Linked DNA regions of Sus scrofa. The protein of the gene in region 3 binds, or shares a complex with, the protein of the main gene of each other region. Links are inferred from orthologs where the notes say so. Each region holds a gene or a part of one and is shown on either strand. Other genes may lie near its edges. The genes, in order: AP1G1, AP1S1 and AP1M1.

Evidence for each region.
Region 1: the proteins of AP1M1 (region 3) and AP1G1 are in contact, whole or in part, in a cryo-EM structure (PDB 7R4H), measured with the Mus musculus proteins. The link is inferred for Sus scrofa from reciprocal best matches to the Homo sapiens genes AP1M1 and AP1G1. Residues at the interface, in NP_031482.1 of Mus musculus: Ser289, Asn318, Asp319, Ala320, Asp321, Ser322, Trp334, Pro336, Glu337, Asn338, Ser339, Gly361, Leu362, Pro363, Ser364, Val365, Glu366, Ala367, Glu368; in NP_001288140.1 of Mus musculus: Arg24, Glu25, Gln28, Lys29, Ala32, Arg35, Ser36, Arg39, Glu40, His64, Phe65, Gln67, Leu68, Gln97, Val99.
Region 2: the proteins of AP1M1 (region 3) and AP1S1 are in contact, whole or in part, in a crystal structure (PDB 1W63), measured with the Mus musculus proteins. The link is inferred for Sus scrofa from reciprocal best matches to the Homo sapiens genes AP1M1 and AP1S1. Residues at the interface, in NP_031482.1 of Mus musculus: Lys12, Glu31, Asn186, Asn188, Val189, Leu190, Glu232, Glu234, Asn270, His272, Arg421; in NP_031483.1 of Mus musculus: Lys26, Lys30, Arg33, Glu34, Gln37, Lys43, Glu51, Trp52, Arg53, Asp54.

The regions. Positions count from the first base shown.
Region 1 is NC_010448.4:14,807,216-14,810,960, forward strand, and holds the start of AP1G1 (AP-1 complex subunit gamma-1), read right to left. Parts: upstream 2,607-3,745; 5' UTR 2,195-2,606; intron 1-2,194. UniProt on the Homo sapiens protein: Subunit of clathrin-associated adaptor protein complex 1 that plays a role in protein sorting in the late-Golgi/trans-Golgi network (TGN) and/or endosomes.
Region 2 is NC_010445.4:8,879,606-8,883,350, reverse strand, and holds the start of AP1S1 (AP-1 complex subunit sigma-1A), read right to left. Parts: upstream 2,359-3,745; 5' UTR 2,223-2,358; coding exon 2,220-2,222; intron 1,717-2,219; exon of another isoform or gene 1,587-1,716; intron 446-1,586; coding exon 267-445; intron 1-266. UniProt on the Homo sapiens protein: Subunit of clathrin-associated adaptor protein complex 1 that plays a role in protein sorting in the late-Golgi/trans-Golgi network (TGN) and/or endosomes.
Region 3 is NC_010444.4:61,383,469-61,387,213, forward strand, and holds the start of AP1M1 (AP-1 complex subunit mu-1), read right to left. Parts: upstream 2,661-3,745; 5' UTR 2,508-2,660; coding exon 2,466-2,507; intron 2,351-2,465; exon of another isoform or gene 2,240-2,350; intron 1-2,239. UniProt on the Homo sapiens protein: Subunit of clathrin-associated adaptor protein complex 1 that plays a role in protein sorting in the trans-Golgi network (TGN) and endosomes.

The DNA.
Region 1 (3,745 bases), on a different chromosome or scaffold from region 3:
GTACATGATTGATTTCAAGACTTTAAAAATAAATAGTGGAATTAAGTATCACAAAGGCACTGCTGACAATTTTTGTACTTTATAGTTTCACTCTAAAATACACCTCCAAATCTAGAACTCCTGTCAGTGAAACAGATTAGAGAACAGCAATTGCTTCCAAAAGAAAATAAATTGAGGTTTCCTAAATGATGTTAATTTCAAGTACAATCTCAACCTCTTTAGACAAAGTAGATACTCAAGTCTGTGCTAATCAATCGATGGTGTTTTGCTTATCATTTGCAAAGCAAAAGGACACTTTCTCCAACTGAACACAAACCACCTAAGAATGAATGGTATTTAAATACCAGTACACAATTCCATGAAATAAACCGAGTAAATAATACCTATGTGATAGTTCTTCCAATACCTTGTTTTTAAAGTGGAACTCAAAAATGGAATATGTCAGTAGCAACTACAAGAGGATACTTAGTAAATGAGTGAGGATTCCATCTATGTTCTGTTTGACAGTTCTTTCAAGGAAAAGAGAAACTCCACAGCTTCAGAGTAAATACACAAATAGTAACTAATGTATTTTTGTAAAGTCTCCTTATAACAAATAACAAAAACACTATTTACAATGAAAACATTCACTCTTCTGAAAACATGACTAGCAGCGGAATTTATCTACCTGATAATAACCTGAGGATAAGAATAATACACTTATAAATGGATTAGAAGTACTAAAAAATCTGACCCAGTTCAAGTTATAAATCTAAGTTTAAATCACTAGGCTACAATTTCAAGTCAGTTATTATTCTTTTGCAGATGTAAAAATCCAGGCTGAGATGAAATACAAGTGACTCAATAACACTCACCTAACTTGAAATGTAGGAAATAATCAGTGAATTACTGTGAAATGCCTTTTATTCAAGCACGCTATAATATAAACATGTTAAGAGCAAAATAAAAGTAAGATTATGGGTATCTGGGGAGTCTATATTTTTAAACCAAAAAAGTTAAGGTGTATACAGTCTGACAAGTATTATGGGGAATAATGAAAGCGGATATTTAAAATCCAACTATCCCCAGAAAAATACAATACACGAAATTAATCCAAGTACTTTTTTAGAATCAGCCAACAAAGAACATTACTGTACAAACCAACTGAAAGTTAAGGTCACTAAGATATGTTCATTCACTCCTCTCTTCTGTTAAGCAATGCCCAGAGCAGCCGAAAAAGTTACTTTCCTTTCTATCTATGTCAGATTGAAATTCTTTTTCACAGGTAGATTTTCATAGGCAATGATATACACCATACATAAATATCAAAAAGTACCCAAAAGTTAAGTGTTCAGCATGGGAAGGGAACCCCACAAATGCGAAAACATTTGACAGCCTCTCCCTACCACCTCCTCTCCGCAAAGCCGTTTCATTAGCTTTACAAATATTTACACTCTGAGCGAGTGGTTCGACCCGTCTCCTACAACAAAACCCTAACAGGGAAACACAACCAACCGTCCTGACTCTCCCCAACAGTTAAGAAGACCGAGAGAATTATTAGTAGTTGACACCTACAGGATCAGGAGTTTGAGAGAAGATAAGCAGTGTATTGGCAGATGAGTTTAAGAAAAAAAGAAAATGAAAAAGAAACACCCGGAAAACTGGGAAAGAAGTTGGTAGGAAGGTTAGAGAGAGGCGAGGCCAATGTCCGGTTCTAAGAGAACAGCAATGCAGGTGCAGACAGCGACTAACGAAGCATTTGGAAACGCCGATGAGAGTTCTACGAAAGACCTGACAAGGGTACAAGATACAAGAACGCTGATACGTGGCACAGAGAAGACACGCGGGGGTGGGACCCGCCCGAGGTGGGACCCGCCCCGCTAACCCTAGGCTTTCTGAATGAGCCCTCAAAGAAGGATCTCAGCCTGAGAAAGTCAATGGGTTCAAGAAGGCCCACACCAGCCGGGCAACGCCGCAGCACGGAAGGCGGCCGCGCGCAGAGCCTCCCGGTCCGAGGCCTCGGGGTCGGCCCTCAAGAAGTCGAGGAGCTCCTGGGGCTCCGGGCCCCTACAGGCTCAGCCTCCGTCCTCTCTTCTCACCCCCCACGGCCTGGGACCGGACCCCTAGAATTGACAGGAAGTCTCCGGCCGAGCGCTCTTGACAGGCACTGGGCAAAAAAAAGCAGTATGCTCTTAGCGCCACGAGTGACACTCACCGGCCCGAAACCTCGAATGAAACCAGCAGCTTCGGGGGCGGCGGCAGCAGTGGCAGCAGGAACCGAACATCCAAAATGGCGGCTCCCTCAGCCTCACCACCGCTACTGCAGGCGGAAGGATTCTTAGGAGGGAGGGAGTTTTTTTTAACTAACTTCGCACACTATCGCAGAAACTTCAGTCCCTAGCTCCCTCTGCTTGTTGATCCCTTGTCCCCTGGCTGCAATTTCTCGTGCCTCCCCCCTCTTATTATCCAGGAACTCGGACCCCACCGAGGACTATTTGCCAAGGAGGAGGTGACTGCTCTGGCAGAGCGACGCAAAGCGTAGCAAAATTCGGGGCTGTCACTGATGACGCGAGACGCTGCTGCCGAGTCACCGCTGCGAAGAGTAGGAGCAAGAAAGATCCGGTCGACCCCGGGGCCCAGGGACATTGGTTCCGCTTGGGGTAGGGGGTGGGGAAGCTGGGCTACCAGGAAGTGGCGGGGCCACCTGAAGAGGGTGGGGCTTGCAAGGTAGCGGAGGAAGTGGAGAGCCGAGGCAGGTGGGGGCGGAGAACTCTGAGCTAGGCTAAGTGGGTCCTATGCCATGAGAACCCTAGATTCTTTTCCTATCTTCTTTGAGACCTTAGCATTCTCTTTAGGTTTAATTTCAGAAACATACTCCAAGTGATCTTGGACTCTGAGGTTTTATGGCACCTTGGAACGTATTTTGTGAAAATAGAGTTAGAAGGAGTTCCCGTTGTGGCTCAGCGGGTTGTGAACCCGACTAGAGTCCATGAGGATATGAGTGGGTTAAGTATCCGGAGTTGCCATGAGCTGTGGTGTACTCTGCAGACGCGGCTGGGATCCTTCCTTGCTGTCTGTGGCTGTGGCTTAGACCAGTAGCTCAGATTGGACCCCTAGCCTTGGAACTTCCATATGCCACATATGCGGCCCTAAAAAGCAAAAAAAAAAAACAAAAAAAAAAAAAAGCAGAAGACACAGAAGAACAGATTCCAACCCCAGTATCATCTCTCAACCTCCTGCATTGAACAAGACATTTAAAGTCTCTGGGACTCAGTTTTCTCATGTAAAAAAAGAGGATTTGGACTATCGATAGCTAAAACCTTTCAGAGTGTGCCTTCTCACTGACTCCATGCCATGATGACCTGCGCCAAAGACAGGCCAACTATACAGGCCAACCTGAGGCATCAGCCAGGTCCTGGCTTGATAAATAATTACTAACACCTTACACGAATATTTTCCACGTGCACATAAAGACTACCATGATATCTTGGCCTGTTTAAAGGAAAGGTGACCTATCTAAACTAAAATCATTCAGGTAGAATGGCAATAGAATATCCCCAAAAGTGAACAAAGCACAGCACCTAGCTAGATGACAAAGAGCTGAATCAACCACAAACCTTGAGTTTAGGACCTGTCATAGACAGGAGGTTTTTTTCCTTAGCCATTTTCAGGAAGGGATTTCAAAGCATTTTACAAAAATTGAGTAGGGCCACCTTACAATTTTGCTCTTGAACAATTGGGGCATGCCAAGGCTGGAAAGAAAGGA
Region 2 (3,745 bases), on a different chromosome or scaffold from region 3:
CTAGGAGGCTGCAAGGGACGTGCCCAACAGACAAGACCGGACCTTTAGGACAGAGGGAGGTGCATGAAATAGGTGTCAGGTTGGACAAAACCAAAAGGGAACCAGAATTTCAGTCAAGGTGGCTGGAGTTCACCACTGGCCTCCAGAGGTCCTTAGCTCTCAGCTCTCCCTGATCTAAGGACTGCTTATTTCTCAGCCATGTGAACCCATAGCCAGACCCCAATCAAGCAGGAAACAGGTGGGACTGAGAGCAGGTGGGAAGTCACCTCTTATAGACGACTTTGAGGTCCCTCCACTCGAGGAAGCTGCACATCTTGGGCTTGCGAGCCAGAACAACCTGCATGAGCTCCCGAACCATCTTCTTTCGCTCCTTGTCTGATGTGGCCAGGTACCATTTTTGCAGCCGCAGCTTTCCCTGCCGGCTGAACAGCAGCATGAATCGCATCTGGGGGTGGAGGGGGAGAGTCAGAGCAGAAGGTCAGAGATTTGGTTCTCTGAGCTTGTTTCCTCCATAACTACGCAGCCCCAAACTCATCCCAACTAACGGTTCTACTCACAGCTCCTTTCTCCAACATGTCAGCCCTTGCTGTCAAGCCTAGGTGCTTCCACTAGCAGGTGTCAGAGCTTCTGAGTCTCTTATTCGGGTTCAAATCCTGGCTCCACTAGTTGAGTACTTTGCCTTGGGCAATTACTTTATGTCTCTGGGCTTCAGCTTCTTGGTGTGTAAGGTGAAAATAATAAAAGTCCCTACCTTACACAGTTGTTGAATGGGATGAAGAGAGTTGATAAATGACACAGTGCCCGGCAGGAAATGAGCACGTTAACACCTTAGGTGTTATTATTATTCCCTGATCTTCTGTTTCCTAATCATGTTTTCCAAAAGTGGGTAAAATGCTAGCACAGTGACAAGTAGCCTGTAGCTGAAATCAGGTATCTCATCCCTCGAGAAGCTACCTCAGTTCAACACCCCATCCCAGCCAGATACCCTAGCTGATGTCCCCAACACACTGCCCGCCAGTGCCAGGCCTATGCCCCAGGGTCTCCTTCATGTCAGCACATGATTCCACCCTCCTCTCTCCTCAGCCACCCAGGCATTTGGCCTCTGAGATTCCTCTTTTCTTCCTTTCAGGGTGCCACCTGCTACAACGCCCACACCTCCCCAGATACCAGGTGACCAATTTCCCTTCCAGTTCCTCAGTTTGGACACAGCCATTCAGAGTGGCTCCCCTAGGGAATGTTGTGGAACAAGTGCAAGAGGGTGGAGTGGGGAAGAGTGCAGAACCCTCGACCCCGTAAACCCCGCAAACCCCGCCGGCAGCTTCCCAGTTCCAGGGGTCTGGGTCACACCTGGAGTCATCTCCCTCACCCACTAGCTCTTGTCTCCGTGTACATTCCCAGGGCCGGAATCCTGGGGATGTGGAACAACACTAGCAGGCTAAAGATCAGAATTCAAGAGAACCGATTTTTTTTTTTTGCTGGCAGGGAAGGGGTAGCACTGCTAGCGTGGTGGGAGGGCCACGGAGGGGCTGAAGGGAGCCGTGCTCCGCTAAGATGGGGGGTGGGCCGGGCAGCAGGAAGACGGAAGGCCTGGGTTCCGGAAAGAGGATGAGGTGGGGGCGGAGAGGCCAGAGCACGCGAGCCGAGGAGCCAAAAGCTGGGTCCCCGAGAGCAAAACCTCGAGACCACTTGGCTTTCCCACCTCACTCCAGCCTCTAGGTGAGCAGGGCGGCAAACCGCGGCAGGACGTCCCCTCGTCACACCCGGAAACTATCCCCTCCCACACACACGGCCCTCCCCGCCGGCGGCCGCCGCTTCTCTGTGGGCTGCACGGGTACAGTCAGTCTGGGTGACCCGAGACCCCCCTCTGCCTTCCTCCTCCGACAGGCCCCGGTGCCGCTCTTCCTCAGGCGACTTCCCTGTGGCAGGGCTCGGGACCACTGGGTTCGCGACCCGCGCGTTCCCGCTCGCCCGGGCCAGTCCCGCCGCCCCCTAGTCACCCTCTCACCCCACAAATGTGCCCCCTCCCCGCCCCTTTGCCCTTAAGCCATTTCCAGCTGCTCTTCCTTTCGAGGCCGGCTGGCCCACCCGTCCGGATAAGTAAAGGCCTCTGAGGACCGGAGGGAAGGAAACGGCTCACACAGAGGGCGGCCCCCCAGGACCCCCGCAGGTGCAGCCCACGCCCCTCGGTTCCCCCTCCCCTCCCTCTTTGCACAGCCTACCATCCTGCAGCCTCCGGCCCTGCGCGTCCCTCTTCAGCCACCGTAGGCGCCAGCTCCACTCCCTTTCAGATCCCTTCGCCTCCTTCCCTCCCTCACGCTTGAAGCCCCGCCCCGTCCGCCCCGGCACGGAGAACCCATGCGATGCGTACTGCGCAGGCGCCAACGCTGCAGGGCGCGCAGGCGGGGCTGGGGGGCGGAGAAGCGGAAGCCATGGCAACCAGGTCCTCGACTTCAGCTTTGATTAGCTCTGTCGTCATGGTAACAAGGCTGTCTTGTGGGCTGGTTGGAGGACGGGGGAGGAGGACAATGAGGTCCTCGCGCTTTGGAACCTTGGGGGGAAAAGGCGGGAAAAGGGGTGAGAGATGGGTGAGATGACCGCTGGAGTTCATGAGGAAGTAGGGTGGTTTAATGGAAGGGGCGTGGGCGACTGAGAGGGAACAAGGTGGGAACTGTCTGTGGGGAAGGAAGAATGATGAGAAAGGCGAAGACAAAGGGTGGGGGGGGCAAGCTTGAGAAAAGTATGGAGCTCAAAATAGATATCTACTGAGAACCTGCTAGATGCAACACTCAAAGTAAGAGAGATTTGTAGGTAATGAGAGAGACCAGAAATAAAAGAAAAAGGAGGGGCTGATAGAAAACTGATGTAAGGAAGAGGGGGAGCATGAATTAAGGCAAAAGAGGAAGAAGTCGAGAAAATTTTAAAAGGTTAGCATAAATCAAAGCTAGGAAAGGGTCAGTTGTAACCCAGACACAAGTGTAAAGATGAGAATTGTCATACAAGCTTTTTGGCTGAGGATGTGCATGTTTGAGTGTGTATGCTTGTGTGTGTAAAGGAGTTTGCATATAAATAGGTAAGAAAATCTCAAACTTGCTGAAAAAATGGCATATTTCTAGATAATTCTTGGAAATTAATGGTGCTATTACTTATGAGCAGCACTTGAAGCAGTTGTTGGTAAGGTCCTACCTGTCTCCACTTTGTATTCTTTTTCCTTTACTCTTTGTTATGGAGGTAATATGCTTTAGTTGCCAGAGGGTGGGCCTAATTCACCTGGGATGCAATCTGGTCTCTGATTCTTATTTGATGTATAGTCTCAAGTGGGTCATTTGGGGGGGGGTACTGCTCTCACAGCATGCAGATGTGCCCAGGCCAGGTAATCCAACCCTCGCCACAGCAGAGATCCAAGCCACCAGATCCTTAACCCTCTAGGCCACCAGGGAACTCCTCAAGTGGATCATTTAACCCTCCTTTCCTCATTTTAAAAACGAAGATAGCATTACCTACCCTGCAAGTCTGATTTCAGGCTGTATATATCTGACACACTGTAAACACCTGATTTGGGTAGGGATTACGACTATTTGCTTTTTCCACCCTCTTCCTTCTACTATTTTTTCTTCCTTTCTTTTTCTTTTCCCTTTCTCCTCTGCCTGTATCATAGTCTTGCCAACGATGTCGGCTGAACTCTCTTGGTGTTATTTTTTAGGTCAAGAATTATATCAATAAAGCAAGGTGTTAGTGTTAGAAAGGG
Region 3 (3,745 bases):
GTGCAGCACACATTCAGAGAAAGAGGGGAAAACAGAGAGCCAATGGAAGCCTTCTGAGGAGGAGCGTGGCAGGTGGTGATGGAAGTTGCAGAGAAGTGAGAAAGATAAGGGGCAGAGAAATGTCCGTGGAGGGTTTTCTATCTGCTGAAAGTGGTCACGCTGGTTTCCTTGGTGATCAGAGGCTCTGGCTGTCAGGTAGACGAGTGGTTGTGAATGTATTGATGTGCCATTATCTTATTTTTGATTTAATGGAGTCTGCGCAGAAGGCCAACATTCAAAACATGAGGTCCGTGGGGCAGGGTGAGGGGGTGGGGGGCGGAGGATAATAAATAGCATGATGGTTACTCAGGACAGGAGGCTGCCTCTGGAGCTTCCTGAAAGGCATGTCTGATTATGCTTCTCCCAGGCTATGGTCTCCTCATGGTGGCTTTTCCTTCTTGAGATAAAATAGTCCCTTCTGTCCTGCCCTCCTGTTTGGACATCCTCAATACCCATGGCCTTCTTGATGCCATCTCCGAGGCTCCAGCACCAACTAGGACTTCTGGCTTGCCAGGCCCAATAGGCTGCCACTCACCCCTTGGGCCCACTGTGACACCTCCTTGTCCACCTGACTACCACCTGGTCACCTTCCCAGCTCTGGCCTCTCCTTCCTCCAGGAAGCCTTTCGTAACCACTTCTGCTGCCAGCCAAAACTAAGGTTGGGCAACTTCATTACCTGGGGCTTTGTCCTTGCCCTTGTTGCTAAGTACATCTGCCTATTTAGATCCATGTCTCTGTTTGGGTCTGTCAGCTTTCATGCACCTCCCCTGCCAGAGCTCGAGGTCCATGGGGACTAACATGGACTGTGGACCATGGGTGGTGCTGAGCTTGTCTTGAGCTCAGGGAGTTCACACACTTGCCCGAGGTCACGTAGCTGAGCAGCAGAGACAGGTTTTGAGCTCAGCCCTAACTCCTCAGGTCAACCCTGGACTTGGTGCATGTGAGGTGCTCATGAAATGTTTGCTGAAGAAACAAGTGATGTGAGCAGGCAGTCTGCGGCACTGCTGCGGACACGGTGACCATGGCAGAAACAAGAACATGTGCTACCAAGACACAGGGAACACTGCACCCTCCCAGTCCCTGGTGTGCCCTGTGCCCTCTAAGAAGGCTGGGGAAGGAAGCCTGGCCCAGGGCCTGTTGACTTTGGGTGGCCTCCAAGGCAGGCAACCCACTCAAGGGGCTCTGGGAAAGTGCTGGGGGTGGGGACTGGGGTGGCAAGGGACAGTCACTTTACCTCTTCACTCCCTACTGCTTCTGCGCTACTCCTGTTCCCTCCGCCTAGGCCTGGCACCCACTAACTCATCCATGAGGGGCCTGTTTTAATGTTGTTAGTCCTGTCTTTTCTTATTATTCCCCAATGAAAGAGGCCAGTTGCCTTCTAGAAGGAATGGACTTGGGGGGAAGACAGTAGGCCTCCTCTGAAAGCTTTGCAATCCCTCCTTTAAGAACTTTTCCCTGAAACCCCTGGGAAAAGCACCGAGGTTCTAGTTATGTCCAATTCCTCCATCATGTCTCAGCTGGGTTTGTCACTCCCCCTGGGAAGCCCTCCCTGACCCCCAGCGGAGGTGGACTTTCCTATTACATCCTCACTGCTCCACAACTTATATTTATTTGTGCTTTTTGAGATCAGTGTCCCTCTCGCCCATCAGATTGTGAGCTCCAGAAGGACAGGGACAGACTCTGATTTTGCTCTCCAAAGGCAACCCAAAGGTTAGCACCCTGCCCAGCACTTCGTAGATATTCCCCAAATACCAGCTGAATGAACAAATGATTCTGGGTTCCACTCCCAGACCTGCCACTTCTCTGTGACTGACCAGTGTGACCTTAGGCAGGTTGCATTTCCTCTCTGTGCCTCAGTTTCTCCCTCTGTAAAACAGCATTCCCACCACCCACCTCACCTAACCCTTATAACTCAATGTTACAATGAATGTTAAGAAACCCCTACAAGGACTGCTACAGAAAAGTCGCTGGATAAACAGAAGCTTCCGAGCTCTCGGAGAGCGGGACTGGCCTGAGGGCACAGTGTCCCCGCCACGCCTCACCACCTCCGGTCAAGGGTCGCCCAGCCCCGCGGCGTCAGGCCTGGCTTACATGCCGGCAGCGGCCCGCGCTCCTAGCGGCCTCGGGTTCCCCGGGACCCCCACGGAGGCCGGAGCTCATTGCCCACAGAGGTGAGGATGGGGGTCGTGCACGCGTTTACCTTGCAACGGCCGCAGCCCACCGCGTTACCTAGCAACAAGGCAGGACTCACAGACAGAAGACACCTTCTCGGTTACCTACCAACAGGGTAGAGCCCTCAGGTGAGGCCAAAGCTTCAAAGACCAGGGAGGCTCCCATTGGCCGGCTACCTAGCAACAGGGTGGGTCCCCAGGGGCGAGGCCCCGGCCAGTTGCCTGGCAACACCGAGGGTGGGGAGCCATCAGTACCTTGCCCTTCAGGTCCAGCACGTAGACGGCACTGGCGGACATGGCGGCTGCAAAAACCCTCGGCACTGGCCGAAGGCGGCGGCGACAGCGGTGACTGCCAGGCGGTGAGCCAGGCCGGGCGCACCCGAGACAGTTCCTCTCCACTTCCGGCCCGGGGAGTAGCGCGCGGACCGTTAGGTCTGGCCGTGGACGCGCTGCCAAAGCGCAGGCGCAAGGCGCCATGTGCGCAGGCGCAATATTCCCGATAAGGCCTTATTTTCCGCTCCTCCCTCAAGTATCCCGGAAGTAAGCTCTTAGGGGAGGGGCGGGGAGGGGCGGGGAGGGGCGGGGCCAAGCCGGGCGGACGGCGGAAGAGCAACTCTCTAGCTGCCTGGTTGGACGGCGAATGGCAGCTGGGAAAACTCATGTCGCTGGAAAATCCCACTTGGTGGGCCAAACTAGGTGAGAGATCCTGGTGGTGGAACCCACCGAGGGCCCAGCCATGTGGAACTCATAGTTTGGTGGGGAAGGCTGGGGAACAAATACATAGACACCAATTGTGATACACTTTATAAGGAGGGATAAGGTGGTGGTTACTTGGAAAGAACTCAAACTCTCTGAATGGCAATCGAGCCTCATCAACAGTAAGTTCCTGTCACCTGTCAGTGCTAACATTTGGTAAACAAGCGTGCAGTTTATTGCCTGAAATGATCTGAAAACCACGCCTCACTGAACCTAGGCAAAAAGGTGATTTATTTCTGTAGGTAGTGGTCACTGTGAGTAATGCAAATTGTGACTCCTGATTCATCTAATTGAATTATACCTTGTTTGCTTTTATGAATACTCGGCCTTTGGAGAAATGCTGCATTCTGTCCCAGTGAACCATCACAATGCCCTGGGCCCCAGGCCCTGCACTATCAGAACCATTTACCCCGGCTGCCTGCCTCTTACTTTTATCTTCCTTACTGCCTCCATTTTGGGTTTTGAGAGTTAGTTTTTGCAACTTTGTGGTTATATACCTTCTACTTAAGGTAGAGATGTAAGTGCAAGAAAATCCAGAGAAGAAAACTAGAACCTTTAAAGATTACCAGTGAATCCTGGGCATAAAGCAGCTGAGAAGCTTTTTGACACCGTCTCTTAAGCAATCTGATTATACCTAGCCTCACTCTGCCCAAATTATGTTTTTAGGAAAAAAGTGTCTTTTTTTTTCTTAAATTACAAAACTGTACATTGCACTGAAGAAATCAGGAAATGCCAAAAAGTATAAAGAAATCCACATGGGAGCGGTAACCCCTCTCATT